Linked DNA regions of Cricetulus griseus. The protein of the gene in region 1 interacts with the protein of each later gene in a biochemical or structural test. Links are inferred from orthologs where the notes say so. Each region holds a gene or a part of one and is shown in the gene's direction. Other genes may lie near its edges.

Region 1 (15,973 bases):
CCTTGGTTCTTGAAATCCTCCTTAAAAGCTGAGATTATAGACATGAGTTAACATGTATTAGCTATGCCTCCTATAATTTACATTTTGAAACCTAGTCATCAATGGAATGGTATTAAGAGGCAGGGAATCTTTAGGCAGCAACCAGTTTATTAAGGTAAAGCCTTCATGAATGAGATTCGCACCATTCTAAAACAGTTGCAAGCTTGCTTATTTGTCTTTTCCACCATGTGTGTATTCATCTTTAAGAAATAGGACCTCGCTGGATGTTGGTGGCCCATGCCTTTAATTCCAGCACTCGGGAGGCAGAGGCAGGCGGATCTCTGTGAGTTCGAGTCCAGCCTGATCTACCTAGCAAGTTCCAGGACAGGCTCCAAAACAATACAGAGAAACCCTGTCTCGAAAAATCCAAAAAAAAAAAAAAAAAAAAAAAAAGGAAAGAAAAAAGAGAAATAGGACCTCACCTCAGGCATGGTGGTGCATCCCTTTAATCCCAGTACTTGGGAGGCAGAGGCAGGTGGATCTTTGTAAGTCTGAGGCCAGCCTGATCTACAAAATGAGTTCCAGTATGGCAAAGACTACACAGACAAACCCTGTCTCCCCTCCCCCCCAAAAAAAAAGAAATAAGACCTCGACAGATGAAGTCTGTTAGTTTCTTTGGCTTGGACCTTCAGAACTTTTTTATATCAATTTTTGTTGGTAGCAGAAGATTGGAATGTTGATATTTTGGGTACTAGAAACAAAGTTGCAAAGCAGAAGAATAATACAGCCTTCCAGTTACTCATTTTTTAAAAAAAAATTTATTGCAGTTATTTATTGTGTGTCTTCACACATGCATGAGCCCTTGTCATGTGCATGCCCCAGCACTACTGATATGTATATAAGAGGACAACTTGTGGCTGTTTTGTTCTTTCTACCATGTGTGATCAAAGTTGAGTCATTAGACTTGGTGGCAAGTACTTTAAATCAGAGACATTTTTCCCACATTTGTTCATTCTCCTAATAAAGATTAATGGAACATTTACTATGGGCTAGGCACTAGGGTTACAGAGGTAGTGGAGAGTAAACATGATGTTTGACCTTAAGGAAGCAAACAGTGGCACACAAGTATTTAGTGCTAGAGTAAAAATGTAAAAATATGTAATAGTACAAAGGAGGGATACATGAACTCTTTGTGGAGGAGGGAAGGAAATCTTCAGGGAGTAAATAGCTATCTGTGCCAAGTTTTGAAGAATGAGGTGGGAGTGTTTTAGGTAGAAGAATATGTACAAACCTTAGTCTTGAAAACAGGGTTTTAATGGTTTTAAGAAACTTGCTCTGGCTGTGGTATGTTACAGCAGCAGTGTGCCAGAGAGAAAGTGCCATGTTGATGACATGCTCACAGAGATATGCAGGGCTTCTGTTGTATAGAAAACAAGTACCTGCACTTATGTTTTCCTTTAAATATTTCTGGTCTCTAAGATTAATGGAGATTGTTTTTAATGTTTTATCACTTGATACATTAATTGTTGGGTTTGTCCAGAAATTCTCTATTCTTTATTTTCTGATTATATATAACTAGTTTTGGATGTTTTCTTTAGGATTAAAAAATCATTTTGAACCTAGTCTTTACTTTTAGTTAATAGTTTAAATGTTTTCCTTATTTCACAGTAATATTTACTCTGAGCATCTGCTCCATGCATTTTTGGATAGTATAGCATATGCAAAAGATTAGTAAAATGCTGAACACTCTTCATTGAAAAGTATGCTCTATAGTTATCTTTTAAAAAAACTATAATGTAATTATTTGAGAAGTACAAGATGGAAGGGTATTTTAGCAAGAATAGCTCATGTGTCCTTTGAGCGCGGTGGGAAATTCATTTCAGTGTTTACTATTACTGATGAGGAAGGACTTCTTTTGCTCTTTCTTTACTTTATGTCTTGTTTTTCATCCCACCTTAATTTCTCTCTTACTCTTTGATTTTGTTTGGTTATTTGGTTGGTTGGATTTGTTGTTGTTTGAGACAGGGTTTCTTTGTGTAGCCCTGGGCTGGTTTCTTTTTGTGTGTGTGATACGGTGTTTTTGTTGTTGTTTTTTTGTTTGTTTTTTTTTTTAATCTCTTTCATTTCTTTTTTTATATTTTTTAGTTTTTGCTTGAAAGTTACTCTGGATGTTACAACTAATATTTTGTTTTTAGCAAGTTTAAGTTAATCCCAACTTGGTTGGATGGTATATATAGCTGTTCCTTTATATCATTATATATTATCTCTTTATATGTTATTTATTTACTTAGATTGAAGTTATAATTTTATGTATTTAAATCATAAAGGAAAAAAGACTAACAGACAAAAGCGATGAACTACTAGTGGCTTTATAGTTATCTGTGGTAGCTACCTTTACCATTGTTCTTTATTATCTGTTTTTAAAATTTTGGGGGGATTACAATTACATTTCTACCTTCACTTTCCTCCCTCCAAAGCTTCCAGTGCACCCTTGCCGGCCCCCCCCCCCCCCCCGCAATCTATTTCAAATGCATGGCCACTTTTTCTTTAATTGCTGTTGTTGTTAATACATGGTCATTTTTTCTTTAATTGTTGTTGTTTGTGGTGGTGGATTGTATGTGTGTATATTCCTAAATACATAATGCAGCCTGCTCAGTCTGTTATTTGTTTGTATGTTTCCAGAATTGATCATTTGGTATTGGATAACTAATTGGTGTGTTCTTCCTTGGGGAAGACTATTTCTCCTGCTCCAAGAATGCCTATATGTAGTTACCTGTATGTAGTCCTATGTCTAGGCTTAAGGCCTCCTGAGCTTCCTGAGATGCATGTTAACATTTTTTTTAGTGGGGCTGGAGAGATGGCTCAGCAATTAAGAGCACTGATTGCTCTTGCTCTTCCATAGGACCCAGGTTCAGTTCCCAGCACCCACATGGCAGCTCATAACCGTCTGTAACTCTAGTTCCAGGGTACCTGACATCCTCGTTTGGGCAAAACACCAATGTACATAAATTTAAAAAAAAAAAAGTCTGCTGGTGGTGTGTAATGATAAATCTTTCCACCAAGCCGCCGGAGCCCCACTGCCACATGGGCGACCAAAATAATACACAGAGACTTATATTAGGTACAGTGCTGCTGGCCAATGACTAGGATGTCTTAATCTATATATTTTATAAAGACTTATGTTAACGAGGATGCTGGTGGAATGTGTCCTTCCTGGGATCACATGGCAGCTCCACTCTACTACATTTCCCAGAATCCTCCTTGACTCCTAGTCCAACCTATCTTTCTGCCTCATTGGCCGAACAGTGCTTTATTCAACAACCAATAAGATAAACCTACACAGAAGGACCTCACCCATCAGTGGTGTTCTTTTTTATTGTATGACTTCAGATTTCTTTTTGGTATCTTTTCATTTCAGTCAGAAGGACTACCTTTCACATTTCTTAAAGCACAAGTTTATCAGTGATTAGTTAAGAATGTCTTAATTTCTTTATCTTTGAGGAACTGCTTGACATTTTTTCTAAAATCTGTATTCTTAATAATGTGGCTGCTTTTTTACCTAGTATTTTGACATTGTTTCCTTAAACATACAGAGCCAGAAGAAAATGGGGGCAGGAAATCTCCATTTTTATAGTTTTATACTGTATATTGGCATACTTTTTTAATACTTGGCCATTACAATTCTGTCTTGGACTTTACCTACTGTATTATTCGAAGTTGTAGATCAGCCAGTTTTTGTTTTTTTTTCCCCTAGCCTTTTCCTGCCATGATCATAGGTGTGACCATCTTGATTTCCTAGAACATATTTTTTCCCTGGATAGCCTTTCCTGTCATCTTCCTTCTCAGGCTTTTTGTCCCTTGTCTCAAGCTATTGTATCAAACAATGATTTTAAGTGAAATCTACTTAGGAAGACAACCTACCTCTGAAACGTTCTAGGTCTGGTGAACCCAAGACAAACTATTGTGCTGGTTTCTCAGGGGATCTGACAAACTAAAGCCTAGCAGTCACAATTCTTTAATGAGGTTTATAGGTAGCTGTTCTCAAAGCACTCTGACCTGGGGAATAGACTGGTAGGAAGGAAACTTAAAATGCCTCCAAATTCTCTATGTAAAGCAGCAGCTTTCTTCACTTAGCATTGCCCTAGTGCTTTGGTTTGCCAAATTCCAGGTTTTGCAAATGCTGGCAGTATTTGTCAGCTCATTGACTGTTTTTTAGAGGAAATAATAGAGTTCCTACTCTGCCATTTTTTTAATCAATGCCACCCCACCGTAGAGATTTTTCATAATGATAATCTCATTAGCCATAAGTAAGAAAATTAAGGATACAATTCATTTATAGGTATAGAAGACTTTTTTAAAAGAAGGGATCACATATTTGGATATGAGTATGGATTTGAGAAGTTGATTAAATCTGTATGTATCTAGCGACAGAACTCTAGTGCTTGGGTTCCAGACAGAGTAAGAGTTTAAATCTTCAAGTAAATCTGAAAAATCTATATGTCGTTTCTTTGAAGTAGAGAAGGCCAACTATGCCATCTTGGAAAAATATTTTCAACTAAGGACTTTCTAATTTATTTAGCAATTGCTTTGTCCTGTTCACTAATATATCGACTACTAAGCACTGGAGATTTAAGGGGAAAATTCTAGTTTTTCCCTTCTAAGGGAGCTGACTCTCATTAGGGAATACAAGTAAACAAGTTCAAGGCACTGTTATAACAAGGTTTACAGGGGACTAGAGACATAAAAGAATATGTAAATAGGCAAGGGGGAGGAACAAGATTTCCAGGGGTGTCATGAGCAAATATAAAGAGCATTGCCTGTGATCTTACTTGTCATATGAAAAGGCTAAGAATGTAATAATTTGGTGTTAAGTATGTAACACATACTTAGCAATTGTTTGTGGTGATCTGAATGAGAATGGCCACGAAAGGCTCATGTGTTTGAATACTTGGTCCCCATCTGGTGGAGCTCTTTGGGGAAGAGAGGGTGTGTCACTGGTGGAGAGCTTTGAGGTTTCAGAAGTCTGTGCCATTCCCAGTTATCTCTCCCTCCCTCATGGTTGAGTCTCAAGATGTGAGTTCTCAGTGTTCAACAGCCCAGCCTGCCTCCCCTGCCCGCATGGTGGTCATGGACTCTAACCCTCTGAAACTGTAAGCTGCAACTCTTTATAAGTTACTTTGGTCATGGTGCCTTATCACAGTAATAGGAAAATACCACTGCTTTTGCTAAAAATGCACTGGCTCAGGCTGGAGAGATGGCTCAGAGGTTAAGAACACTGGCTGCTCTTCCAGAGATCCTGAGTTTAATTCCCAGAAACCACATGGTGGCTCACAACCATCTGTAATGTGACCTGGTGCCCTCTGCTGGCCTGGGTAGAACACTGCATAACAAATAAATAAATAAGTAAGTAAGTAAATAAATAAATAAATAAATAAATATTTTGGGGAAATGCACTGGCTCCTTGTGCCCACAAGTAACTAAAATTTGCAAGATAAAACCTAGTATTTCTGCCTTCATTTTATATCTGCCTTTTTTCCCCCCTATGGGTTGTACTTCTTTTCAACTCTGAGTATAAGCATGTTAATCAAGGAGTGCCTGATTAAGGCTTAAGGCACAAAGATAAGAACTAAAAAGTTCTTTGGTGTTAACGTTTACAATATCCTGTTCCAGATTTCCCAAAAGGTGACTGGAAGTCTTTAGCCATTATCCTAAACCTACAGTCACCTTTTCTAAGAACAGTGAAGTCAAACAAATAATCAATCCTCTCCTTAGTGAACTTTACCCCTCAGCAGCAGTAATCTCATGAGAACTAGATTGGTTTTTTTTTCTGGCAATAAAGAGGCCCTGTCACAGATCCAACACTGGGATAATGACCATCCAAGCCTCAGATTTGATCAGTCATTGTGTACACCTCTCATCCTTTGCCCTAGTTAATTCCTAGTCAAACTTAAAGCTTATGTCAGTTCTCTAGACTGAGATATATGATGACTATCTCCCAGCATAGCCATTCAATTTGAAATTCTTCTCTGCTTTTCCATCATTCATTTTCTGTTTGATGTCTGGGGCTGCTGGTCCAATATAATTTGTTGCATCCCACCCCCAAATTAGGTTTCCAGTTACAGTTGTAACCAAGTAGTTTTTATATCATGATATATAGAGAAAAAGACTATAAGTACAAGTGTGGCTCAGCATGATTATAAGTGTATATTTTTAAAAGGGGGGGTGGTGCAAGCAAGATTTGAAGAAGCTGAAAAGTAGAAAGATAATTAAAAAATGATACAATTTTAAAAGAATAGCATGAGCTGTTCTGAGCCCAAGTACAGTCTCTGAAACTTGCACAGTAGGAGAAAATGAGCTCTCAGAAGTTGTTTCTGACTGTGAGCTAGGCTAAGTAAATATATGCAGAAATAAATGTAAAAAATACTAAAAGAATAGCAAAGTAAAATAATTTCATTTTGGTATTGAAGAGATTTGAGTGTTTTTAGATAATTGGTAAGTCTGTGTAAGACAGAAACAAGGGTAGTATGGAGTCTCTGAAGAGAAAAGATAGTTATTAAGAACCCTGAAGGATTAGAATTTGGGACCCTGGCTGAACAAAGAGTGAGAATAATAAGGTTGTTTTTGTTTTTAAGAATATAGAAAGAATCCAGGCCGTGGTGGCACACAGCTTTAATCCCAGCATTCTGGAGGCAGAGGCAGATGGATACCTGAGTTTGAGGCCAGCTTGGTCTATAGAGCAAGTTCCAGGATGTCCAGGGGTACACAAAGAAACCCTGTCTCCAAAACAAAAAGCATGTAGAAAGAAATTTGAACAGTTTTACATTGAAAGTCCCAGTTTTTCAAAGTAAAAAGCAAAACATGAGATAATGTGCTGAGAAATGATCAGTCCTTAAAATGCCTGATTGCACTTGAAGTGTGCATTAATGGTGATAGGTCCATTTTCTTAGTTCTTTCAGTAAAAACACACTAAACATTCTCTATGTACTAAGTACCCTTCAAGCTCCTTGGGATTTTATCTATGAGCAAAGTGAACAATCCTTGCCTTTTGGGAGGTTTTATGTGAATTGTGATGAAGGGAAACAAATGAGTAAATAATATTTTAAACAGATAATGTAGAGTGATCTGGTTTTGGAAACTAAGAAATTATCAAATGAGATTACCCAGATACAATTTTATATTGTGTATCAGTTACTAATTTCAGTAATTTTTTTTCATTTTTATATAGCTATTTACAAAATCTAGGTTAATAAACTAAGATGTCAAGTGTGGGATTACTGGAGTATTTGTTCTTAATTGTAGCTATGAGAGAAATAAACTATATTAATACTTAAGAGAAATTTCAACATGGCAACTTTACTACGTAGTGATTTCATGGGTTTGGCAGAAGAAAAGAGGAGATAAACTGTCACATGACTGAAGTTCATTTGGTTTGGCTTTGGAAAAAGAACTTGTATTTCATTTCCCAAAAGATGATTACATCATGTTAGTTTGTTTTCTACATTTAGAGGCTTGGGGTAAGTGTGCTGAGTTGAAGCTGTATTCTTACTGCTTTCTCTTTATTTAAACAGGCATTGGAAAAGTGAAAAGAAAACCTAGTGTTCCAGATACTGCATCTCCTGCTGATGATAGCTTTGTTGATCCGGGAGAGCGACTCTATGACCTCAACATGCCTGCTTTTGTGAAATTTAACTACATGGCTGAGAGAGAGGATGAACTGTCATTGATAAAAGGGACAAAGGTGATCGTCATGGAGAAATGCAGTGATGGGTGGTGGCGCGGCAGCTACAATGGACAAATTGGATGGTTTCCTTCAAACTATGTAACTGAAGAAGGTGACAGTCCTTTAGGTGACCATGTAGGTTCTCTGTCAGAGAAATTAGCAGCAGTTGTCAATAACCTAAATACAGGTCAAGTACTGCATGTGGTACAGGCTCTTTACCCGTTCAGCTCATCCAATGATGAAGAACTCAATTTTGAGAAAGGTGATGTAATGGATGTTATTGAAAAGCCGGAAAATGACCCAGAGTGGTGGAAATGCAGGAAAATCAATGGCATGGTTGGCCTGGTGCCAAAAAACTATGTTACCATTATGCAGAATAATCCATTAACCTCAGGTTTGGAACCATCGCCTCCACAGTGTGATTACATTAGGCCTTCACTCACTGGAAAGTTTGCTGGCAATCCTTGGTATTATGGCAAAGTCACCAGGCACCAGGCAGAAATGGCATTAAATGAAAGGGGACATGAAGGAGACTTCCTCATTCGTGATAGTGAATCTTCGGTAAGTTGGTTTTCAAAGGTAAATGGAAATAGAGCTCCAAGCATTTAAAAATAAGGTTGGAGAGGTTGAATAAGTGGCTTCCTTAAACCTAAGTGGTAAGCCGGGACATGATCATAGTGCTCTTTCCAGTGTACCTGTTTTGAATAAGCTGGCTAGCTGGAGCAGTGAATATGTTGTATTAATGGGCTTTCTTCAGTTGTATTGATTTTACATTTCTGGAATATTTTCTGTCCCATTAAACTGAAAAATGAGGAAAACTGAGCATTGGTTTCTTCCTTGAGAGTAGAAAAATGCAAGTTAAATTGCTACTACATGTAAAGTATAAGAATGCAATCATTGTAGTCCTACAGGAATTCTCTACTATAAAAAATAATTATGTGTCTTCATAAATTAGTTGTTTGATTAAAATTCCTTCCTCTCTCCCTCCCCTTCCTCTCTCCCTCAGTGCCTCACTATGTAGCCCTGGCTGCCCTGGAACTCACTGTGTAGAGCAGGCTAGTCTTGAACTCAGAAATCCACCTGCCTCTGCCCTTGCCAGTGCAGGGACTGAAGGTGTGTGACACCATACCTGACAATATGAACTTTTTATTCACCTCCACAACCTTTTTTTGTTTTTTTCACTGTATAGCTGTGGCTGTCCTGGAGCTTGATCTGTAGACCAGGCTGGCCTCTGAACTCAGATCCGTCTGCCTCTGCCTCCCAAGTGCTGAGATTAAAGGCATGTACTGCCATTGCCTGGCCTCAACAACCTATTTGACATCATGTGAAATGTATTTGCAATGAAAAGTAAATTATGTTACAGTACTAGCTAGACAATAAAAACATACAAATTGAAAAATGACATAGCCATTAGTCTCTTTTAAGTGTTACTTTATATGTTAAAATTTGATGGTTCTTGTTTTTCTTAAAAACTTTCTTTCCCTGATAAATGATATCACTATTCTTCTACTTACCAAATTGTGGTTAATACTGACTTTCTGTGAATGTATTGTATAAAAGGTTAAAGAAAATAGTATGTGTATGAGACTGAGATGATTGAACTTCCTGATATGAAATTAGGGAAAATGGTACCTTTAGCCTTTCAGAGACAGATGATTATTAATAGAGAAGTGGAGTCCATTTTCTGTTAAAATCCTGATATGTGGCACACCATTTAAAAGTCACAGACTGTTCAGAAGTATTAGGTTTAAAACAACATCTGCAACTACCACCACCTAATTAAGAAAGAAGGAAGCTTAAATACAGGATGTTATTTTTCATGTGGGTAGAGTATAAATACTAGCCAAAATATATGCTTATTTTTAATACTGTTGTTTTTCAGCTATAGACCTTAAATGTGTGTTTTTGTTTGGCCTGTGCAATTAAAAATCTTTCTAATCCATTGCAAACGACTTATAAAAATCCAGACTTTGGGGCTGAATAGATGGCTCGGCCGTTAAAAGTACTTGCTTTTCTTCCAGAGGACCCAAGTTCAGGACCCACACCATGTCAGGTAGCTTACAGCTACCTGCAGCTCCAGCTCTTAGTGTGATCTGATGCCTCCTTGTACATATAACCCACATGCGCAAAATTTAAAAAATAATAAAAACATCTTTTGAAACTGTAGGTTTCAGATTTCCCTTTAAAAGTTAAAGACCATGGTGGAAAGGTGGCTCAGTGATAAGGAGTACAGCTTGCTTTCTCAAAGGACCCAGTTTCATTCCCAGAACCCACATGGCAACTCAGACCACATAGGCACTGCTCACATGTGATCTACAGGTGCACATGCAAGCAAAACACCCATACACATAAATAAAGGACAAAGACCAGTCCACATGGCATCTATTCCTGCAAAGCAGCAATCACAGAAGAATAGTACGTCTTCTTTAGGCTGGCCATATCCTCATTCTTCTGTCTTGCTTACATTTCTCTTCTGGCATTTGAGGAATTTGTGTTTGTCACCATTTATTAAAGTTTAATTGAATTCTTATTTGTCCTTTACTTTTGAAAATTCAGAGCATTGTATCTAAGTCAGGTACTGTCCAACTCTGAATTGAAAGGGGATGGAGTGAAAGTCTGAAATTTTTCATTTTTTTCTCTCGTTGTAATGGATTTTCTGTGGGCCCTGTGGGTGTTAGGAGACTCTTGAATTCTGTCTAACCAGATATGTGATCCTAGACATGCTCTCTGAGGCTAATTTTCCTCATTTATAAAAAAGGGTTTCTTTTGAGGAATAAAGGAGATTATGTAAATAATTTAGCATAGTGTCTTAATGTTCAGATTTTAGCAGTTATGTTTTATTTTCAGTTCTGATACATGGCTTTCATAATGTTTGCCTCCCCCTCCCCCTTTCTCTTTTAGCCAAATGATTTCTCAGTATCACTAAAAGCACAAGGGAAAAACAAGCATTTTAAAGTCCAACTGAAAGAGACTGTTTACTGCATTGGGCAGCGGAAATTCAGCACCATGGAAGAACTTGTAGAACATTACAAAAAGGCACCAATCTTTACAAGTGAACAAGGAGAAAAACTATATCTCGTCAAACATTTGTCTTGATACTCATCAGCAGTGACTGCTACACAGCTTTAACTCGTCATGTAATTGAAGACTGATCGTGTTGGGCCAATTATACTTGTTTGGAAAGTGCTGGTTCTGAGAACTGACTGTAATACATGAGTATTTTTGTTATAACTCAACCCATACATATATCTGCATATGCAGTGCATCTATATAGAAGAGTTCTTTATTCTTAGTCTTCTATCTTACTGTCTTCTTTGCTTTTTTTTTTTCTCTTTCCTTCTAACAGTTCAAGTTTTGTATTCTGAAAAAGAATAATTTGGTTCAAAAATCTTTATATATGGAAGAGTTCTTTTATTGATGTTTCTTTATTTTCTTGTAAAGACCTCCTGTTCTCCCATAGTTCCTTTTCACATAAAATCCTATCTATATGGCATATGCTAAAGTACATTTCTTGTAAAGTGTTAATCTTTTCTGTGACTAAATAGCAATAATAAACAGGAAACTAGAAATTATTTCCAGATATTGTATCTGTCACAAGCCATTGTAAATATAAAGTATGTTATTTGTGCCTTCATTTTAAAATCCATTCATTGTATTCAAAAGGCCCTGGATATAGGTTAGAAAACATAATTTATGGCTATTTAAACAAAAATGTTAAGAATTAAAGGAGTATTGTTCAAGGGAACAAAGCAGTCCCTGACAGCTGTTGAAATGAAATGGACATTTCCAGTGTCCTTGACCAAAGTGTGTTATATTAGATAATGCCATATTTATGCCACTGTGAAGTAAGTCATGGCCAAGTTTGGGGAAACTAGTAGACAGTGAGATGTTATTTTTTATTTCTCTCTCTCTAAATATCAGTAATCCTACATGGCAGTAATTTAAAGTTTTCTCCTTTCAGCATCCTACCCTCTCCTCCAATATCTGAACAGATTTACTGGAGAACTGTGTTTTGACACTGTTGTATATTGAACCCAAGGTTTCACACATGATAAGTGGGTACTCTGCTGAGTGCCCCTCCTTATCTTTTAGTTTCTTTAACTGGAACAATTAAATGATGTGCTGTGGGGAAATGTGCTATAGTTAGGTAAACTGTATTATTTAATATTTTTACTTTTCATCTAGTACTTTGTGAATGTGAATGAGAGACTAAAGTATTCAATCTTTTGTTAGTCACATTTTTCCTCGTCATTCTGTAAATTTAAATTTAAGCAAAGTAACAAAAGCCCCTGATGCCATATAAGTACAAGAACATTGCTGTTCTTTGTGGTTTTTAGACACTACTGTACAAAAATTATAGCTGATAAAAATTAAAGTTGTGTAATTTCACTTTTTTCTTCATTGTAGTAGTTAAAATTTTTAAATATAAATCTTAAAATCACTTGGAGGCTGATGTTGCCACTGGGTGGCAGCCCTGGCGTCTCCCTCTAACTAGAAGTTAACAAATATAATTAAAGCACTTATGTATGAATTTCCATCTTTATAACACCTGCTTTCAAAGCTTTTTAATTTACATTTGTCTTTGAGTGCTCTTTTGTTTAGGGTAAATGGTATTAGATTAGCTTAATGTAAATAAATGTCATATATGCTTGACTTTGGGACTGTAAAATACTATGAATGCTAAGAAAAACAGTTTAAAAGTGGTTTGCAGAATGAGTAGGTAGTTAGCATTCTTAACAGTTGACACTTTATTTTTGCTTTCTCTTTTGTGTCTTCCTCCCCTCATGAAGCAAAATGGGCCTTTATAAAAAGCAGCAGTTAGGACTTTATCATGGATACAGCTGTTTCTGGAAACCCTCTACTCCACAGCCCATACTTTGTGAAGGTGGCTCTGGAGGAGTGTGGAGGTGGATGGAGTGCATGCATCCTGGAGTTCCTAGAAAATGGAGGTGCTCCAGTAGTTGTACTTTCTGTGAAACAAAACCTAACTCTCACTGTTTTACTTTGTGCTTCAACGTTTGATCAATTTTTTTAAAGTGTCTTAAACCATCTCTTCAATATTGTTAAGCATGAGTTTTACTTGAAGCAATTTTCTTAGAACATCCTTAGAAAATAGCTACATAGTTAGATCGTGACAAACTTGTATTAGAAACAACCCCAGCCTAGTGTCATCTGTGTCTTGACACCTCTCTGTGTGCTAGTTTTAGACTAGGAGGTGGGTCCTGGGGAAGGTACTATTACAGAAGTTTCATCTCTATATGAAGAGCTTTAGTTTAAGAAGAAATTTAGTTTCCCAAATTTAAATACATGTACCTATAATACCACCTGGCTCATGACTACAGAAATTGCTCTAAAGTCTTGGAAGAGATGCTTTGTTTTGTTTTGTTCTTAAACAACTTTATGTGTGAAAGCTTAGCCACAAAAGAAAAGCTATAAATGTTACATCTTCTTGGTCATAAATCTTAGGGGTGAGTTAAATATTCTCATAATGTGTATTGAATATAATCAGTATTCATGTTAACACATACATCTAAGACTATTAAAACTGTTTCACAAATAACACTAAGTAAAATAGAAAACACCCTACCCTGTCGTATAAGCCTATAATTCTGGCTGTTCAAGAGACTGAGGCAGGAGGATCATGAATTTAAGGCCTGCATGAGTAATTTATCAAGACACTGAAAAATGTAGAGCTGGGACTGTAGTTCTGTGGTAGAGCATGCATGAACCCTGGATGCTGTCCCCAGCACCACCAAACAAAAAAACCTGAGCATAGTGCCGGAATAAAAAGACCTAGCAATGAGCAACTTAGGTCATTAGGATATGCCTGCAAATACATGGCTTGTAAATTGTATCCAGCTCTAATGCTCTGCCATGTAATCTAGAGGTTGCAAAAATACGGTCTATGAGGGCATTCTGGGAATTAGGAACAGGTGTTGTCTCCTGGTGTACCCCATCCCTTTACTTGTCAAAAAGTGTAGAATTTTACCTGCTGCTGATGCCTTATTCGTGGGGCAGACAAATGTAGAAGTATTGTTCAACTTGTGTAGTATTCAACTTGACAGCACTTAAAACAGGAGATTGCAGATAGCCTTGTAATTTATGGTTTCCTTTAAAAATAAGCTGACAATGTGAGTTGAATTTCCGAGTTAATCATCAGCTGGAACCTAGTGTGGATGGTCCCATAATGTGCATGGTGAAAGACATTCAAACAGAATAATAAAGTCTCTCCCAACTCTTGCCCCATAATATATAGCCAAATTGATTTCCTATTTCTCCCTATTTTTCCTGTTGCTTGGAGAGTTTTTGGATTTGAATATGAAGTGGCCATTTTTTAGAAACTGTTCCCATGGCCAAATCAATTAATTAGGAATGTAGCATTGCAGCTCTTGCTTTTCCATTTTAATTCTGTATTACAAGAAAAAGAAACCTTTGTATAGCTCTCTTAACTGTGTTCAGGTCTTCACAACTTTGGACACTTCTTGAATTTTGTTCAACATTTTCTGAATCTCATCCAGGGGACTAAAAAACCAAATTTCTGATTCTGTTGCAAGGTAGACAGATATGAGGTAGATATGCTGGTTCGATGGTGTTCAGCAAGTTTGTGACTCAGCTCTGCTGTGTTCTGCTGTGTTCTAAACACTGCAGACAGCAAAACAAGCAGCACACACTTCACACCCCAGTTTCTTGCTGTTACATGTGTGTTTTTTTAGTTTACTTACAGGAGCCTCTTGATCTGGAAGTGCATGTGGTTTGCTGAGACTTGTTGAATAAAATAGGAAATGAACTGTGCTTGCTGAGGGAAAGAAAAGTTTCGATTGTCATTGGCTATATATACAGAATGGTTTTTAAACCAAATTAAGAATGTTTTTCTGGCCAGAACGCTTTGGTTGTATCAGTTTCAGAACTGGTTTGATGCCTTCAGTAGCTTAGCAGGGACAAGCTGGCTGATGTATTTATTTTTGTAGTGCTGGACAATGGAACAGCTGCCTCTTGCATGCTGGGAAAGTATTCAACCAACTGTGATTGTAAATGTTTCCACTCAGATTACATAAGCTTACAGCACAGGGAAAGCTGGTCTCACTGTTGGAAGTTTTATTTATTACTGCAAAGGTTTTCTCTCTCCTGTTGTACCCCATGGACCACTTAAACAGGAAAACAAAACATAGCATTTTGAAATAGTTATCTAGTATATAGGAAAAAAAGAAGATTGTTTTAAACCAACTTTTGGGTTCAGATATATCTTAATGAACCTGCAGTTATCTATCTTTGGAAAATTGTTGAGACAAAAAGATGGCCGGGTGTTGGTGGCCCACACCTTTAATCCCAGCAGAAGCAGGCGGATCTCTGTTGAGTTTGAGGCCAGTCTGATCTCCAGAGCGAGTGCCAAGATAGGCTCCAAAGCTACACAGAGAAATGCTGTCTCGGAAAAAAAAAAAAAGATGGATTCCAGAAAGGGGCTACCTGTTGTCTAAATATAGGCTAAACACAGGAACAGTTGGGATAGTTTTGAAAACTTACAGAAGAAATCAGGAACTCCTGAGTAAGCATGGCTTCTCTAGAGGAAATGGTGTCAAAACAAAGGTTCTATGTTTTCTAAACTGTAGATAAAGGGAATATTACAGAGAACAGATACCGATTTCATTGAGGCATAATCGCTTAGTTTCAAAATGAAAAGTTTAGTTTTGGATTGTTGATACTGTTGATCCTGCATATCCCTCAAAGCCATGCGTTAAATTCTTGGTTCCCATCTGGAGCCACTTTCTCAGAAGGTGGTGAAACCTTCAGGAGATGGGGCCTCCCCCTCTTTTTCTTCTGTTTCTCATCTAAAACAATCCTACCTTTAAGTTGATTATTTTGTTGCTCAAGCATGAGGCTGCTTTTACCCTGCATTACAATGAAAAAAAAATTAACAAGGCTTTGGTGAAATTTGCATTCTGGGGATGCAAAACCTAAATGGAGAGAGGAGTTGTGCATTGAAAGACAAGTGGGTGAAGCTGTAGCACATAGTTGTGGGTGTTAACAGGTGGAATGTCTGATAAAATTGGCTTATATGTCGTGGGCTCCACTTAGAGCCAACCAGTGATTGAAAAACAGTAGCCAAAATCATTAGAATATCATGTAGATACTCACTTTACAAAGCATGTTTCTGATTTCCAGAACTTTAAACTGGTATTTGTTTTATTCAGATATGGAACTTTTAACTTGTAGGGCAGTTCAGAATAAATCTCAATTCTCTGTCTTAATAGGAGTTATTGGGTAGTGTTACATAGA
Region 2 (16,684 bases), on another chromosome or scaffold:
TAAACAGAGCAACTGTTGTATTTTCGTCTACAGACATCTCTGGTTTTGTGGAAAGGCACCAGGAGACAGGCCATGTTTTTTTTCCTGATTCTTTCTGTCTGTGGGATCTTGAAATCTTGGGGATATTCTCATGTCTCTGAAGCTCAGTGTTTATCTTTGTGAAATAAGGGGCAAGGCGAGAAGAGGGGCCTCAGAACCCACCTGCTGTGGTCATCTGACCTTGGACTTCTGGCCTTCCTAACTGGGAGGAAGTATGTTTCTATTGCTGATGTCCCCAAGTCCCTTTTTTGTCTAAAGCAGCAGTAGTGTGGATGATTTTCAAACTGGGCTCCAGGGAGAGCAATAAAATAGCCACTGCAAGAGACTCTAATTTCCCTATTCTTCCAAGGTCCCTGACAGACAGTAAGTCAATGTGTGACAGACAGATTGTGTGCTTAAAAGTTATTTATCATGAGATTCCACTAAGGTGGGGAAGCTCTCAAAGCATCCAGCTGCATGCCCTCCCCAATATCTGCAAAGTACTCAGAGGAAACAGTGGGTGACAAAAGCAACGACCTTGACATTTAAGTCAGCCTTTGGTGAGTCTGCTTTCCCACAAACCAACTCTGACAAGTGGTTTTGTAATGAAGAAGTTCAAACATCAAAAAGAGTCCCATAAAAGACCTGTCAAGATAGGCAAGTGTGGTGGCCCAGGTTTGCCATTCCCAGCACTTAGGCTGTGGATCTAAGAGGACTGGAAGTTCAGAGTTATTGTTAGCTACATACATAGTGAGTTTGAGGCCAGCCTGGGGGTACATGAGGCACTGTCTCAAAAACAGGTGCCCACAAGACCCACACTTTTCCAGTCTTAATAGATATTTGTGAGGTGTGCCTCACACCCTGTCTCGTTTCCTTACTACTCTATACCAGACTCTTCACCATTAGGCACTTGGCGACACTGCTTAAGAACTAGTCTTGAATATTCTTATGATTGTTCTCACATTAGACCCTCTCTTGGCTATAATTTCAGGGCAACTGTCAACTTGTGTTGTGACTACAGCCTAGATACTTCACGGCCTTGGAAGTAAAGTCGTTGAAATAAATCGAGTTTAAATTTTATCCTAAGATCAATGGGAAGCCACTGATGTGCTATTTGAAATGGTACAGTGACAAGATCATATTCAAATTACAGAAGTAGCAATTTCAAGAATCATGTGACCCACCTTAGTGGAAAAAAAGGGAGATTCGGTGTCATTGTACTCCAAGAATAAAGCCACCTGCTAACTGACTCCTAACACCTACAGTGCCCTAGGCTCATGGAGCATTAGTATTCTTGGCTGAGAGGGCAGAAGAATCTCATTTTTTATCAAGGGGTCCTGTTCCTGACCGGAAACTCTCTTGCCTTCACTCATCAGCCAGGATCTACCTATGAATTCAGTTATGGTGAATAAGTAGACACAAAGCACAATAAACAATTTGCTAATGCTCAGGACCATCTCCATCCTTCTACTCTAACCCCCTCACCCCTCCCTCACCCTGCCATCAGGAAGTTAAAGCCTCGAGATTATTCCTATTCTCCATTACAGGTAGGATCCCCTAGCTAGAGTCCATTGATAAATGACAACCAAGTGAGGGTTAGAAGACAAAAAGGAGAAGCTCCAGCCTACACAGTAGTTCCTGAAGGACAGGTGAATATAGCAGAGGCCATAGGGCATTTTCCTGTGGTCTTTAGGTGGCCACCTAAGCATCACCAATCTAAGCACTGTTAGAAACTGGAATTTTTGGTTGTAACAAGACCTCAATCCTTTAAAGGTTTTTAATTGCCCTTGATAACTTTTTTTAAAACCCAGCCTTTTGTTATATTAAGTCTTTCATTGCTCTTCATACTTAGAGTAACTTCCATTTTTCTGACCAGTCCTGACTGATATCCATGGGCTGCAGAAGGAAAGCAAATAGTTCTGAGATCACAACAAAACTGTTGCATGTGGTATAAAGGCTGAAGAGTAAATTCCACCCATTGCTACTGTCATCATAAGCTCTTGAAAGCCCCCTTCAGTCCTTTGGTCCAGTGTAATAAGAAACAAGTTACCCTTGATAGCTTTCCCTTTCACATTAGAAAAAGACATATCAAATCTTTTTCTCTTGAACACTAAGTATATCAAATTTAAGGTACAGGCAAGGTCTAGACATTTACCTATTAGATTGCAATAAACAGTAATCTTTGTCCAGTAAATTTTCTTGAACCAATTGGATCAAGAATGATGGGAATAAAGAGGGGCCACACACCAAACATGTAACAGAAAGAATGCGTATCATTCAGAAATGATGCACTTATCATGAATGAATCCTGTTTTCATCACCAGGATTATCTTGTTTCTCTGACTCACCCATGAAGAAAATATACTAATTTCTGTAGGATCACCTCATGTACTTTTAACAATGGTAATGATACTACAGGGTTTCTCTGTGTATCCCTGGTTGTCCCGGAATTCACTTTGTGGACTAGGAGGCTCAGATTATTTCAATTACAGTTACAAGCCTGAAGGACATTTTCCAAATAGGACAGTTTTTTTTTTTTCTGCTAACATATGTGGAAGATTAAATATACAAATGATTGTTAAATTTCTTTTTTTTTTTATTAATTCAAGTTAGGGAACAGGCTTGTTTCACATTGTAAGTCCCTTCTCCCTCTCCCTCCCCTCACCTCCATCTCTCCTTCACCCCCAACCTACCCCCCCCACCCCATTCACCCACCACTCCCCAGGCAGGGTAGGGCCTTCAACAGGGGCTCTGCAAAGTCCACCAAATCTTCCTGTGCTGGGCCTGGGCCCTTCCCCATGTGTCCAGGGCCAGAGTGTAACCCTTCACGTGGGATGGGCTCTCAAAGTCCCTTCTTACACCAGGGAAAAATGCTAATCTACTTCCAGAGGCTCCCTGGAGTGCAGAGGCCTCCTTATTGACATCCATGTTCAGGGGGCTGGATCAGTCTTGTACTGGTCTCCCAGAAAGCATCTGGGGTCGATATGCTTTCCCTTGTTCAGGTCAACTGTTTCTGTGGGTTTCTCCAACCTGGTACAGACCCATTCGATCTTCATTCCTCCCTCTCTTCAACTAAATTCCAGATTTCAGCTCAGTGTATATCTGTGGATATCTGTCTCTGCTTCCATCAGCCACTGGATGAGGGCCCTAGGATGGCATAAAGAGTAGTCATCAATCTCATTTTAGGGGAAGGGCTTTTAGGTTACCCTCTCTTCCATTGCCTGGATTGTCAGATCATGTCATCCTTGTAGGTCTCTGGAGATCTCCCTGGTTCCAGATCTCTTCAGACATATAGTGGCTCCCTCTAATATGGTATCTCTCATCCTGCTCTCTCTTCTCTATTCTTCCCTCTACTCAATATCTCTGCTCCTCCATTTCTTCTCCTCTCCTCCTCTTCTTGTGCTCTTATTGTGGCAGCACCCTCTCTCCTACCCTCATGCAATTTCTTAAAAAGAACAAAGAGGAAAGAAATTTTGCCTAAACAAGTGCCAATACATTTAAGACCTTTACAAAGTTGGTGGGCATGTTGGTGAACCTCTGTAATTCCATAATTTAAGAAAAGGAGGTAGGAGAACTGCCAGTAGGAGGCCAGCCTGGGTACATACCACACTGGAAATCTGCTTGTCTCTATAAAGAAAAAAAAAACATATCTACAATGCTATGACTAAGAGGACTATGTTATTTTCTTACCAGGATAGATAGATAGACCAAACAAAACTGAGAACTCTAAGATGGATCAATCATCAGTGGAAACTGTGATAACTATGCCACTGTGATTCAGTAGAAAAAAAGATGGCTTGAGTTGAGGAAACTGTACAAGATTTGCATTTTTAACACTTCTATAACTTTTAATTGTGTGTAAGCATGTGTGCCTCATATGTGGGTGTGTACATGTAAGTGCAGGTACCTGAGGCCAGAAGAGGACACTGGATCCTGTCGAGTTGCAGGTAGTTGTGGGGTGCCTAACATAGGGGCTGGGAAGTGCTCTTAACTTCTGAGCCATCTTTCCAGCCCCTGGTTTGAATCTGAAATGTCTTCTCAGGGCTCATGTATTTGGAGGCTTGATCTAAAATGCAAGGGGCCCTCTAGGGGCCAGGTGATTTGATCATTACAATTCTGATCTCATGAACTGAATAACCATGGGGAAGAGCTTTGTTATAAAAAGCAAGCCCTGTGCTGGTTGGCCACCATGAGATGATCAGCTTTGTTATACAACAAGCTCCCTGCCATGACGTTCACCCCTGCTACCCATCTACTGAACACACTGAAGTCATGAACTGCCTTGATCCAGTCGCAGCTGGCTCAGGTCTTGAGATGGGAAAGGGGCGTTGGCATGAAGAAATGAAATGTCTGGCAGCCGGGAGAATTTTACACAAGTGGCCTGTCCATGTAACTCCAACCATCTTTATACATAAAAAAGCATGTTTTTCCATACTAACAAACAAGCTTTTCCCATCCTCCAGCTCCAGCAAAAAGAAATATGTTTTCTCCCAGCTTTTACATCAAAACATCTTTAAACCAAAACAACACTTATCATTTTGTTAGCTTCGCCAAATATCCAGCCAAGTATATCCGGCCTTTACAAAACTAAAAGGTGATTGACATAGGCACACATTTTCAAGATCAACAATCCCGTTCAAAGCATATTTACAGAAATAGGGGTGATATAAGCATATTTACTGAAATAGGGGTAACCTACCTCTGATCCTATCAGCACCGAATTAGGATAGCTCCTGGGATGTGAAGTGACAGCTGGCATCCCCAAACTTGAGAATTTTAGGGGAAGATACTCAAGAAAAAAATGGGTTTTCTAGGAATGTTCACATCTGTCAAATGCATGATTGACAAAATGACACTAAAACCACCAAAAGAATCATCAATCATTGTATGAGAAGAGAGTGTTCAGGCCACGTGGTCTCAGCAGAATTCTGCACTGTCCAAAACTCCACCAGTCCTTGCTGAGTGCAACTGTCCCGGTGGGCTTTTGCCTCATCTGGAGACCCCATATGGACAAGCACTCATATACTGGTCTGAAACTGTGCAGCATGGCTCCCAACCATGAGCCAAATCAAACTTTGTCTTTTAAATAGATTTCTCTTTTTGTCACATAAACACATAGACAAAAATATAGACTCCTGACTCATAAGCAAAAGTGTGTATTAAAACCCAAATGTGCAATCTGCATGCATTTGGGAGAAGACATTTGCAATATCTGAAAGCAGCCATGGCTTTACATCTAAAATATCCATAAAGTATAAGAAAATCCTGCAAATCAGATGGAGGAGATAAACAACTTTTAATTGGCAAACAGAATATGCACATAACAAGAAAATGGATTGCCCAACAAATATACAGCTGATGTTCAAACTCATAAGGAACCAGAGAGAAGGCAAGTAGTAGATGGTGAGATTATCTTCATAGGCATAATATGCTTGGCAAAAATTATAAAGGTGGATGCTACAGAGCAGAGAGCAAAGCCCAGGCTAGGATGGTCCTTGTAACTGCTGGTGGTGTCAGGGGATTGAGCTGCCAAATGAGCATCCTGGAAATACTTAGAGAACTTGACCTAGTAGGCTCACGCTCACAAATAAACTCAAACTTGGAGTGTACTATGGTCTTTGCTTACATTTGCAATCTTCCTGTCTACTTGGCAGATTGCCTTGGAGGGTTTCTCTGGGCTAGTTAAAAAAAGTAACAGCAGGTTTTCTGACTGTGCATCCCCCTGCTGAGTCACCTCCAGAGCTCTGGTCTGTAGTCTACTGAGTCAACTTTCCTGCAGATTCCCTGGGATAGTAACAGTAGGAGACTGAGAGAAGTCAATCAGCTTGAGGTTCCAGCCTGGCGGTTCTTGATTAGTTTTTCCTTCAGCAGCCACAGTGCTAAGTTCTACTTCAAATGACGATTTCTTTTCATTAATAAGGCTTTGGTACCCGCCGGGTGTTGGTGGCGCACACCTTTAATCCCAGCACTCGGGAGGCAGAGGCAAGCAGATCTCTGTGAGTTCGAGGCCAGCCTGGTCTCCAGAACAAGTGCTAGGATAGGCTCCAAAGCTACACAGAGAAACCCTGTCTCAAAAACCACCCCCCCAAAAAAATAAGGCTTTGGTACCAATGTGATGGGTCTTGTGACTGTTCACAGAGGTGTTTCTTCTTTCTCCATCTTGCCTGGGGGAATGCTGGATTGAACCACCAAATTCCAAACCAGTTTCCTGAAGTTCTCTTGTCTCTTTCATCAAGGGACTCCTCTCCTCTCCCTGTGATTGGAGGGCAGTAGGGGTTAGGAAGACCTGGCTTCTGATTCCTCTATCAAAAAAAAAAAAATGAATTAAAAGAAGAAGGGCAAAGAGAGACATGGAAGGACAGAATGACGATTATCAAAGAACACTGGGAGTCTCAGGTAGGAAAGCAAGGAGAGACCAACCAGGGCCAACAGTCATGGGAATAGTGAGTGAGGTGAAAAAAAAATAAGGCAGGCATGGATGACTGGAATCATGAGATTGCCAGCAGAGAAAGAGGTTGGATTTGCAGCTGGGGTGAGACAGGGTGACAGCAGCAGGATAATGACACTTTAGGTATAGGTTTGGCATAAAGGAGAAAGTCAGGTGATCATCTCAAAAATCCCCAAATATGAGACAAAAACTATGAATATTTAAGACATAGAGCTTGCCCCGAAAGACAGAATATAGGAATTTCTGGAATTTATATGGCTTATATGGGAAAACGCTGGAAACAGAGGCTGAGTTCTTAGAACTTATTAGACATAATGCTGTGTGTGTGGCCAGAGTGAAGTCAACCCAGGCAGGGCAGGCAGTTTTAGAAAGTCATAAGATATATAGCTGATTTTGCTGTAATTGCTGAATAAAGTTTTAGCATGTTCTGTGTGACGGTTAAAGCCCATATGCCATAAAAATTATTTGTTGTTTATCCCAGTCTCTTCTGAATTGGGCACCTGAAGTTTCATCTGGTGACCATAACAGGGATTGCAATGATAGATGATTACAGAGGCTTGGAAAGCCACTTCTCAGGGGAAGTGGGATAGGAGGCACAGTGGGGCAGCGTGGACCACCTGAGGCACATTCCTGGTGGCAGCCAACTGGCGTTCAGAGATGGCCAGGGATGCCTAATATTCCACTGTTTTCAAAGAGAATAGAGGTATGTAGTTTGAAAGTGAGCAATTAATGGAAGAAAAGACACTGCTGATAGGAAAGCAGTCTTTGTGGTACTACAAGACACATGGGCCCGTGGTTTGCAACCTCTGATCTAATCTGTGGGAATGGGTGAGGCAGGTTTTACCTTCTGAACTATGAAATGATGGTGACCTGCAAGGCTATGGTGGTAGGTAGTACTCGGTTGAGGGAAGGAACAGCAACAGGGGATTAAATTCCCCATGCAAAAGCTAAGATGTGGAGATAGCTTCTGTAGCCGAACTCCATGGTTTTTCCTCTGAGCATCAGCTCCAAAATGCCACACAGTTCATTTCTTGCAGCTAGAGAACAGCTCATGTTCTCAAGGAGAATCCGGACCTCAGGCACTTCTCAGCCACCTCAGGCAGCATAGAAACGCCAATTGCATTTCGAAGACTTTCGTCAGAAATTTGTGGGCGGAAACTTCCTGGGGTCGCTGAGAGCTTTTTGAGGCTTTTGAGCTTCAGATGCAAAGTGAGTGGGTGTCTCACAGAGAAGCAAAGAGAGAGGGGTGTTTCCCTTGACTGTGGAAACTTTATAAAAGAGAACGCACTCACTTATCTTCTCTGGAACAGTCAGCGTCAGGAGTCCTGTTCTCCACATTTCAAGAGTCTCTGCAAGATTGAGAGAAGAAAACCCTTTCCCAGGGCAGGGTGTCATGCAACAGCCTGTGAATTATGGATGTCCCCAAATTTATTGGGTGGACAACAGTGCCACTTCTTCTTGGGCTCCTCCAGGGTCAGTTTTTCCCTGTCCATCCTCTGTGCCTGGAAGGCCGGACCAAAGGAGACCACCACCTCCTCCACCACCGATACCACCTCCGTCACAACCACCACCATCACCACCACCCCCACTGCCGCCAATGCCACCTCTGAAGAAGAGGAAGGACCACAGCATAGATCAATGGCTACCGGTGATATTTTTCATGGTTGTGGCGGCTTTGGTTGGACTGGGGTTAGGAATGTATCAGCTCTTCCATCTGCAGAAGGAACTGGCAGAACTCCGTGAGGTAAGCCTGGCATAGGGATCAATAAGGCCCCAAGTCCCTGGGTGCAACATGACTCTGCTGCATGTGGGCCACTGTATTGCTTGCAATGATTTGCGTTTTTTGTTTGTTTGTTTTAACGGTAAAGATAATTTTAATCCCCTGCGTTTTAGGAAAGGGTTGGTATAGTATTTCTATTCCACAGTTGGAGAGACATGCTCACTCCCTCAAAGACAGTGGTTCTCAACATGTGGGCCATATGGTCACGACCCCTCCGGGTAGTTGAATGACTCTTTCACAGGGTTTTCCTGGATATTAGATATTTGCATTATTGTTCATAACACTATCAAAATTGCACTATCAAGTAACAATGAAATAATTTTATGGCTGGGGATCACCACAACATGAGGAACTGTATTAAAAGTTCACAGCATTAGGAAGGTTGACAACCACTGGTCAAGGGGAATATTTTCCATCATTTAGAGATCTGAGGCAAATAATTATTCCTTTCTCCGTTGTCAAGAATGCCATAAACTTCTTATAGCTTCATATTTAGTGATTCAAGGAAAAAAATCAATTTTGGATCTTGATTGGAAGTATAGACTAAATCTGTTTGAAAAGATTTGGAATTCTTAGTACTACTCCAGATACCATTGTGTGGCTCACATCTAAGTTGGGCCAGGATCTGAAGTATCTGAGTTCTTTTTCTAGGGACTGATGGGATTTTTCTGACAGCTTGGCTTAAATAGCTCCACATTTATTGTATGAATCTTTCTCTTTTATCAGCTCACCAACCAAAGCCTTAAAGTATCATCTTTTGAAAAGCAAATATGTAAGTACTTTTATGTATGTCTTTTGAATTCCCCAAAGTGGTCCTCAACACTGAACAGAGTTGGAAGGATGCCTGGGAGTCTCCCCTTTCTTAGGCTTACAATTCCTTTGCAAGATCCTGGGGAACTTAGACTCTGCATTCAGTCCGGTTCCGTGAACTACAAAAAAAATTGGATGAAGTTTATTGCTCAATAGCCATGTATCTGAATGAACACTGCATATAACTCAAATGAACTTGGGCTTGACTTTTGAAGGAGACATACAAACAGCCCTGGACTTTTCCTTTTGCCCCTTCCCTGGGTATCTTGGTCCCATCTCACATGGGTGGCTGTGACTCCTCAAGACAGAAAGGGAGTAGAGGCAGACACAAATGTTTCTGGAGATGTCCTCTCCTCCTTTTAAACTAAAAGTGACTACTCAAGAATGAAGATGTATTTTTAAAATATCTTGTAAGATATTTTAAATAAATTTTAAGTAAACCCATTGTTTTCCTTAATGTTTTCTTCTGAAATTGTTAGGTATTTTGGGAAGACTTTAGCCATTGTCCACAGGACTGTACACCTTCCCCACAGAGGACTTAAGATGCCTTTGATGAGTTTGATGATAAAAACACCACACACATACACACACACACACACACACACACACACACACACACACACACACACACTAGATCCAGGCTAAGAGGAAGATGATCAGTTTGAACATAAAATCTCAGGGCATGGTTTTTAGGGATTGAACAGAGATATGAGGATCTGTTTTTATATGTCTTGGACTCATGTTCACAAAGCTTTATATTTCTTTTGAATTGGAAAGGAACTTAGGGAGAAAGTGATCTATTTTCCATTTTCCAGGAGAGATACAAAATACTATACCAATTAGGTTCAATGCCCATGTCTTCTGGTATGAAGCTGGGTACAGGAAAACAGTCCCCTTATGCCTTGTTTCTGATTCACAGAGAAACTCCCACCTCTCAATAATGGCCCTGAAATGATGCAAAGCAGTTGCCTTTGCAAAAGCAACAGGGCAGTTTTATCCTACAAACTTTGAAGAAAGTTGAAAGGCAACAGACAACAGTGGCCATCCATTAAGGAGAGTGGGCTCCATACTCAGAAAGTGAGCAGTCAGCTCCTGCCTGAGAATATAAGCTCTTGTAAGGGCCACCATGGTGTGCTCTGGTTTTCAGCTCAGTGTTCAAGTCTCTAAGCACCAGAAAGCCCAGATTACACAGGGACAGTGGAAATAACTTGCTAGAAAAGTGAAACCTCTCAGGGTTTTTAAAGTAAAATCACTTTGAAAATCAGTGGAACGAGGCTTGTGTATAGGTGTTAATCACTCCCTGTCACCCACTCCATGGAGTCATTTTTGTGAATAAAAGTCAAGTGGACAAATGAGTCAGGTCTACCTACCCCAGTAGTTATCTTCTTTATATCAATGTAGATGGCCAGAAACTGATAAACTGTCACAAGAAAGTTAAAATTATCACTTTGCTATTAAGAGGGGCTGACTTAAGGAAAGGGGTATTTATTTCTTCCTTCAAATTCACAAAAATAAGAAAACAAATTACAAATATGTGTGAGAAAAAAAGGTCATATCTGGCACAAGTTTCCTCCAGCATGCATGGAAATTGTTGTAAGTACCATGAAGAACATAGGAAAGTTCATTCCAAGGGCTTGAACTGTTAGTCTGCTTTGTAATCTCAACACTAAAAGATTCTCTTAGGAAAATAGTTGGAGATAGATAAAATAATTTACATATATAGTGTTCATCTCTTTCTCTCTTTTTTCTCTCTTTCCTTTCTTTCCTTCCCTCCCTCCTCCCTCCTTCCTTCTTTCCTTCTTTAAGGTGTGAACCACCACCACCTGGCTTTTTATTTTTTAAAAAAGATTTATTTATTTATATTTTATATCCATTGGTGTTTTGCATGCATGTCTATGTGAGGGTGCCGGATCCCCTGGAATTGGAGCTACAGACAGTTGTGAACTGCCATGTGGGTGCTGGGAATTGAACTTAGGACCTCTGGAAGAGCAGCCAGTGCTCTTAACCTCTGAGCCATCTCTCCAGTCCTATTCATCAGTTTCTTATAAAACAATTTGGAAGAAACCTAACCTTCAGAATAGGAGATGAGTTGAATACACTGTGGCACATGAATAATACACCATTATGAATGGCACAAAAACATCTAGTAGAACCACCTAGGACTTTTAATGTCATAAATATTGTGCACTTTACATTGTTAGGTAAATAGTCAAGTTATCAAAGGCTCTTTTTAGTTTAATACTCATTATGAAATATGTATGCATGTTTTTAACTTCTAAGAAAAAAACAAATGAATATAGAAAGTGATTGTTTTTTTTCTGGAAGACACTATAGTTATCATAGATTTCTTTCTTCCATTTAAAATACTTTTTCAAACAATTTAATAATCTTATTGCGTGTTTACATACACATGTGCATATGTATTGCCACAGCTTGTGTGTGGAGGTCAGGAAACAACTTGTGGGGATTGGTTCTCTCCTTTTACCAGTGGGTTTGAGAGATCAAATTCAGTCCTCAGGCTTAGCAGCAAGCTCCCCAGCCATCTAATCAGGCCTATTAATTCTTATGCTTCTATCTTCTCCATGGTTAACTAATTGGATGTTTTATTTATATACAAGGTTTCTAGAGAACCTTCTGTGGCTGAGGCTGAGTCTTGGTTGGTGTTTGAGAATGAGAGAGATAAAGATGGAGGAGTGCTCTCATGTATCTTATAACACAGTGGAGAAGATGAACAAAAACAAGTCAACAATACAATTCCAAATAGTATTAAGAGTGATCCAAAGTAGAGTGGTCTGGAAATCCTTTATAGGGTTGTCTATGCTGATGCACATGGAAGCTATCAGAAGCCTCTCAAAAAGAAGAGTTGATGTATGGGTCATGGAGGAGGAAGGACATTCCACATTGCACATGCAAAGAGCCTGGGGCAGGAAAAAGACTTTCCTCATATTTCTAGATATTTCTAGGACCTGTCCAGCAGACATTTATAAGAGTATATTTTATGAGAATAGCATTGTACTAGGCTCTATGAGAAATATAAATCTAAGCAACATGTGGTTCTCTGCTCCATTTCCTGTTAGTGCATGGCAGAATGCCAGGTCATCTACTCCGGTGGTTTGTGGTGTGTAAGAGGTCCAGTCTTGCCTATCCTTTCCCTCACACTTCCTTCAAGAAGGGTTGTTCTAGGTGCTAGAGAGGTCACAATTCTTTAGATAATATTCTCAGTAAACAGGTATATTTTCACACCCTGTGTGTGTTTTATAGTCTAGTCCCAAATCTAAGGTGGACAAGCACCCTCCTATAAGTGTTTTTTTTAATGTGTTAGTTAGCTGAATTCATGAAGCCCAGTACTATATTTTTACCTTAACTGAGGTATTTGAAGTCAGAGAAATAGCATTTATTCAAAAAGATATTGTCAGTTTTAATGACTTCAATTTAATTTACTGATACTATGCTAAACAAGGCTAAATGCTCTTGTTACTTAACTATATAGTAAAATGGCATTAGGGAAAGACTTGGTAGCCAGGATCCCAAAGTCCAGCAATGTTAGTACTAGTTTAGATCATAAAGTGATTATTCCAGAGAGCTGCTATTTTCCTGGACAAGAAGGAAGTAAAGGCAGTTTTTATAGTTGCCCTAGGAGGGAGGAGCCATAACTATCAAGAGAGGCAAAGACAGAAGGGTCTTAGGCTTTGAAGGGTGAAGGGCCATATTTGACAAAAAGTGTGGAAGGGTTTCCCAAAGGAAGAGGAGTGTAAGATGGTCACTAGATAATTGACAGGAATTTAACTCAGAGATCTCATTTGGAGGGCGTTCTGGACAGAATGAGCAAAAGCCCAGGAGCAGGGAAGAAGGGGGCATAATCAGTTCATAGAACCCATGCTGTGTGCAAGTGTTTGATGGGATGGAATAGAGGGAGTAAGACTGATACCATGTAGAGGAACTCTGGCTAAGGCTACATGATGGAGTAAAATTGTGGACAACCTCGTGATAGATGAGGAGGTCTTAATATTATCACCTTGGAAATAGATTGTAGATTGGTGCCCAGGAGATGAATCAGTAGTCTACAGGTCAGCAGAATCAGGGTGTACAGACCAGGGATTTACAGTCAGCCCAAGGTGCCCATTGCATCCACCGTTAAAGTCAGTCAGTTACTAATGTCTTATTGCCAGTTATAATTGGGACAATAAAGGGGTCAAGGCAAGTTCTAAATGGAGTAAATGAAATGGCTATTTTATCATAATATAATTTATGTATTCATCTGTATTTACCTGTCTTGTCTTTTTAAACTGTTTTTGAATTACAGACTCTCATGAGTCCCACAGTTTAGAATTTCTTGATAAGTCTGTACTAGAATATTTCCCCCTATGCTCTGAAAATCACATATTTAAATAGTGGGATTTAGAGTCCCAATCAAGATAGTGGTTGGCACCCATCATCATAATTTTCACATGTCTTTTGTCTCTCTATGATGCAGACCACCCCGGTCAACCCTCTGAAAAAGAAGAGCCGAGGTGTGTGGCCCATTTAACAGGTTTGTGTCTGGAAGGACTGGGTGAGGACAGAAAGTCTGGAAAACTGTGGACCAAATGCTCAATTTCCATTGTAGGCTCTTAGAAAGTATTATTGACAATTGTATTTACCACTCAAGACCATTCATATCTCTGGGATCTCATGAGCCTAATCTGACAATTCTAATGCTGTAGACTTGTGTATGGCTTGATCTTGGCCATAAAATGTGCACTCTTGAGGATGGAGCTCACCTTAAAGCTCTAAGCTCTGGACAGATGATAGAGAAAACGGGTGTCACACAGATGTGAAGGGAGATGAGAACAACAGCTGCAGCCAATTTCAAAGCATAGACAGTAACGAGGATGTGCATAAAACTGTTGACAGAGGATAGAAACTTCCTGTTGTATTTCCTTTAAGATGGGAAATGATCATTTTTAACCATGCAGGTTTTGCAAGAGCGTGAGCACGAGCACACACACATGTGCAAACACCTGTCTGGGCTAGATAAATTGGACCCTGAGGATATTGTCCTTTGGCTCTGGAGCTTACAAACTCTGACTAAGTGCACGTCTCTCCTGTAGATAATGGCCAGCTGGAGAGGGTGGCTTCAGGGTAGAGTGGTCATAATTCCTGTTTGAAGTGTGAAGAATTCTGATTTCCCCCTTGCCTCGACCTCTTGGTGACCTCTGTTAAGGACATGTCAGGTTGGCACAGGAGCCCCAGCCATCATTTCCTGAGAGGAGGAGATGGCTGCCTTGATTGAAGGGAGTGTGACATCAACACTGGCAAAGGTGGTGTGTATTTGTCACACCTCAGAAGTGGGCATTGCTGGTGCTTCCTGGGAGGGATGTGACAGTCACAGGCACAGGGCTATTAATGGAATCTGCCTAAGTTTTCCCTTGCCTCTCAATGGGGTGAGGCTCAGCTGCTATGGTCTGTCATTCTAGCTGGCCTCAAGGGCTAAAGTACACATGGGAAAATGTAAGGGCACATGTGACATATGTGTTATATTTGATGTAACCACAGCATGAGGAATTGCAAAGGGAAGGAAGGGAGTCTACTAGGCTGACAGTCCTGTGGCAGAAACAAAGAACAGTTATCCCAACTCTTAAGGAAGCCCTCTGTCCATTAGATAAACCAAGAGAGATTATTTATAAAACAAAAAGTGCACTCTTTTCAACCATGCCAAAATCCACAAGGGGACTTGTGACATAAGTCCAAGAGGAGCAGCCAAGGGTGAGTGATGCACTGTTTTGAATAAGAAGAGATTGTTCTGGCATTTGTGGGTTTTCAGCCTATGATTATAAAGTAAATAAGTGTTTTAGTATAATATGGCATGGGCAACTCCATTAGAAATATAAACATTAAAAATGTAGTTATATATCACAAGAAGAGGTGTACCATACCTCCTGTCATCACTTGGAGGCTGTAGAAAAATTCATCTGGGTCCACAAACACTTATTGAGTACTTGCTGTGTGTAGGTACATAATGCTGTGTGAACAAAATGGAAGGGGATTAGCCCAAAATAAGAGGCCAAGGAATCCAAACTAAACAAGGAAGTGGACCACATAACCATGAGATTTTGTCCAGATGTAGAACTCTGGAGATCATTCTCTTTATGGAGGGATGCCCAAGCTCAGCGGTGTTGGTACTAGTTTAGATCATAAAATGTTTGTTCCAGAGAACTGAAATTATCCTAATAGTCTTCCCTGAGATCAATCAGAGACACACACTAAATTTGTCCCAATCACATGGATGATTAAATTAGGGTGGACAATTTGACAAAGGTGTTGAAGAAACTCTGGGGTGGACCATGCTTTGACCCCTGATTGGCTGTCCTTCTGGATAGAGCTTTTGTTAAGGAAGGGCCCAGAGTTTTCCCTTGGAATCTTAGCCCATCAGATGTGGGAGACCTTCTGGCTGAAAGTTCTTCTCTGGTTTATTTCAGGCAACCCCAGCTCAAGGTCTGTCCTTCTGGAGTGGGAAGACACATATGGAACTGCTCTGATCTCTGGAGTGAAGTATAAGAAAGGTGGCCTTGTGATCAATGTCCCTGGCTTGTACTTTGTATATTCCAAAGTATACTTCCGGGGTCATTCTTGCACCAATCAGCCCTTAAGTCACAAGGTCTACATGAGGAACTCTAAGTATCTTGGGGATCTGGTGTTAATGGAGGAGAAGAAGTTGAACTACTGCACTCCTGGCCAGATGTGGGCCCACAGCAGCTATCTGGGGGCAGTATTCAATCTTACCAGTGCTGACCATTTATACGTCAACATCTCTCAACTCTCTCTGATTAATTTTGACGAATCTAAGACATTTTTTGGCTTATATAAGCTTTAACAGAAAAAGCACTTTAGAATTATCCATTATTCCGTTTTATGGGTACTGGGAATATTGTCTTGAATGAGTGTCTTTTTAAGACCAATTGAGATTAATCAAGACAAAATGAGCCACAAAGACCTCATGATCACAAGGTTCAACAGGTCAACTTTCCTTCATTTCCCAGAGTGGTCCTTAATGCCTCCATCGTGAGCTAGATGGAAGGAGAACTGTGGCCAAGGAACATAAAGCTTTGGGCTGCCATGTGATGATGCAGAGGCACAGAGAAGGAACTGTCTGATGCTAAAAATGGCCAAGAGCATTTTAGCCATTGAAGAGGACACTTTTAAACTCACCTTTCAGGGTGGGTCTACTTGCTACCTCAGAGGAGGCCATCTTTCAGACACATGGTTATGATCTGAATATACAAGGCATGGGAAAAGGGGGCCAGGTTTGACTGATAAGCTAGAGACTGAAAGAGGCCAATGTCTCATTGGCATCATCTTTACTTTTAACGGGTGTTTTCTGAGCCAACCTTTGATGCTAACAGAGAACTAAGAGGGATGTTTGAAGCACAGATCATTCCTTACACAGCATGTGTATCTCCAGTGCAATGGCATGTGTGTCTCCAGTGCAATGGCATGTGTGTCTCCAGTGCAATGGTGTCTGTGTGTGTTTGTATGTATGAGAGAGCAGACAGACAGATTCTAGAGAGTCATATAAATAGAATGTGTGCATTACAAAGTACATATTAGAAACATATGTGTTACATTTGGTGGTGGATATCTGAATGTTT

The links.
Region 2: the proteins of Nck1 (region 1) and Faslg form a complex in vitro, tested with the Homo sapiens proteins (2 studies listed by BioGRID and IntAct, with this or other methods). The link is inferred for Cricetulus griseus from reciprocal best matches to the Homo sapiens genes NCK1 and FASLG.

The regions. Positions count from the first base shown.
Region 1 is NC_048597.1:208,826,557-208,842,529, reverse strand, and holds the end of Nck1 (cytoplasmic protein NCK1), read left to right. Parts: intron 1-7,547; coding exon 7,548-8,260; intron 8,261-10,600; coding exon 10,601-10,795; 3' UTR 10,796-12,230; downstream 12,231-15,973. UniProt on the Homo sapiens protein: Adapter protein which associates with tyrosine-phosphorylated growth factor receptors, such as KDR and PDGFRB, or their cellular substrates. Maintains low levels of EIF2S1 phosphorylation by promoting its dephosphorylation by PP1.
Region 2 is NC_048598.1:30,331,353-30,348,036, forward strand, and holds Faslg (tumor necrosis factor ligand superfamily member 6), read left to right. Parts: upstream 1-7,859; coding exon 7,860-8,210; intron 8,211-8,972; coding exon 8,973-9,018; intron 9,019-13,530; coding exon 13,531-13,587; intron 13,588-15,514; coding exon 15,515-15,909; 3' UTR 15,910-16,443; downstream 16,444-16,684. UniProt on the Homo sapiens protein: Cytokine that binds to TNFRSF6/FAS, a receptor that transduces the apoptotic signal into cells. Involved in cytotoxic T-cell-mediated apoptosis, natural killer cell-mediated apoptosis and in T-cell development.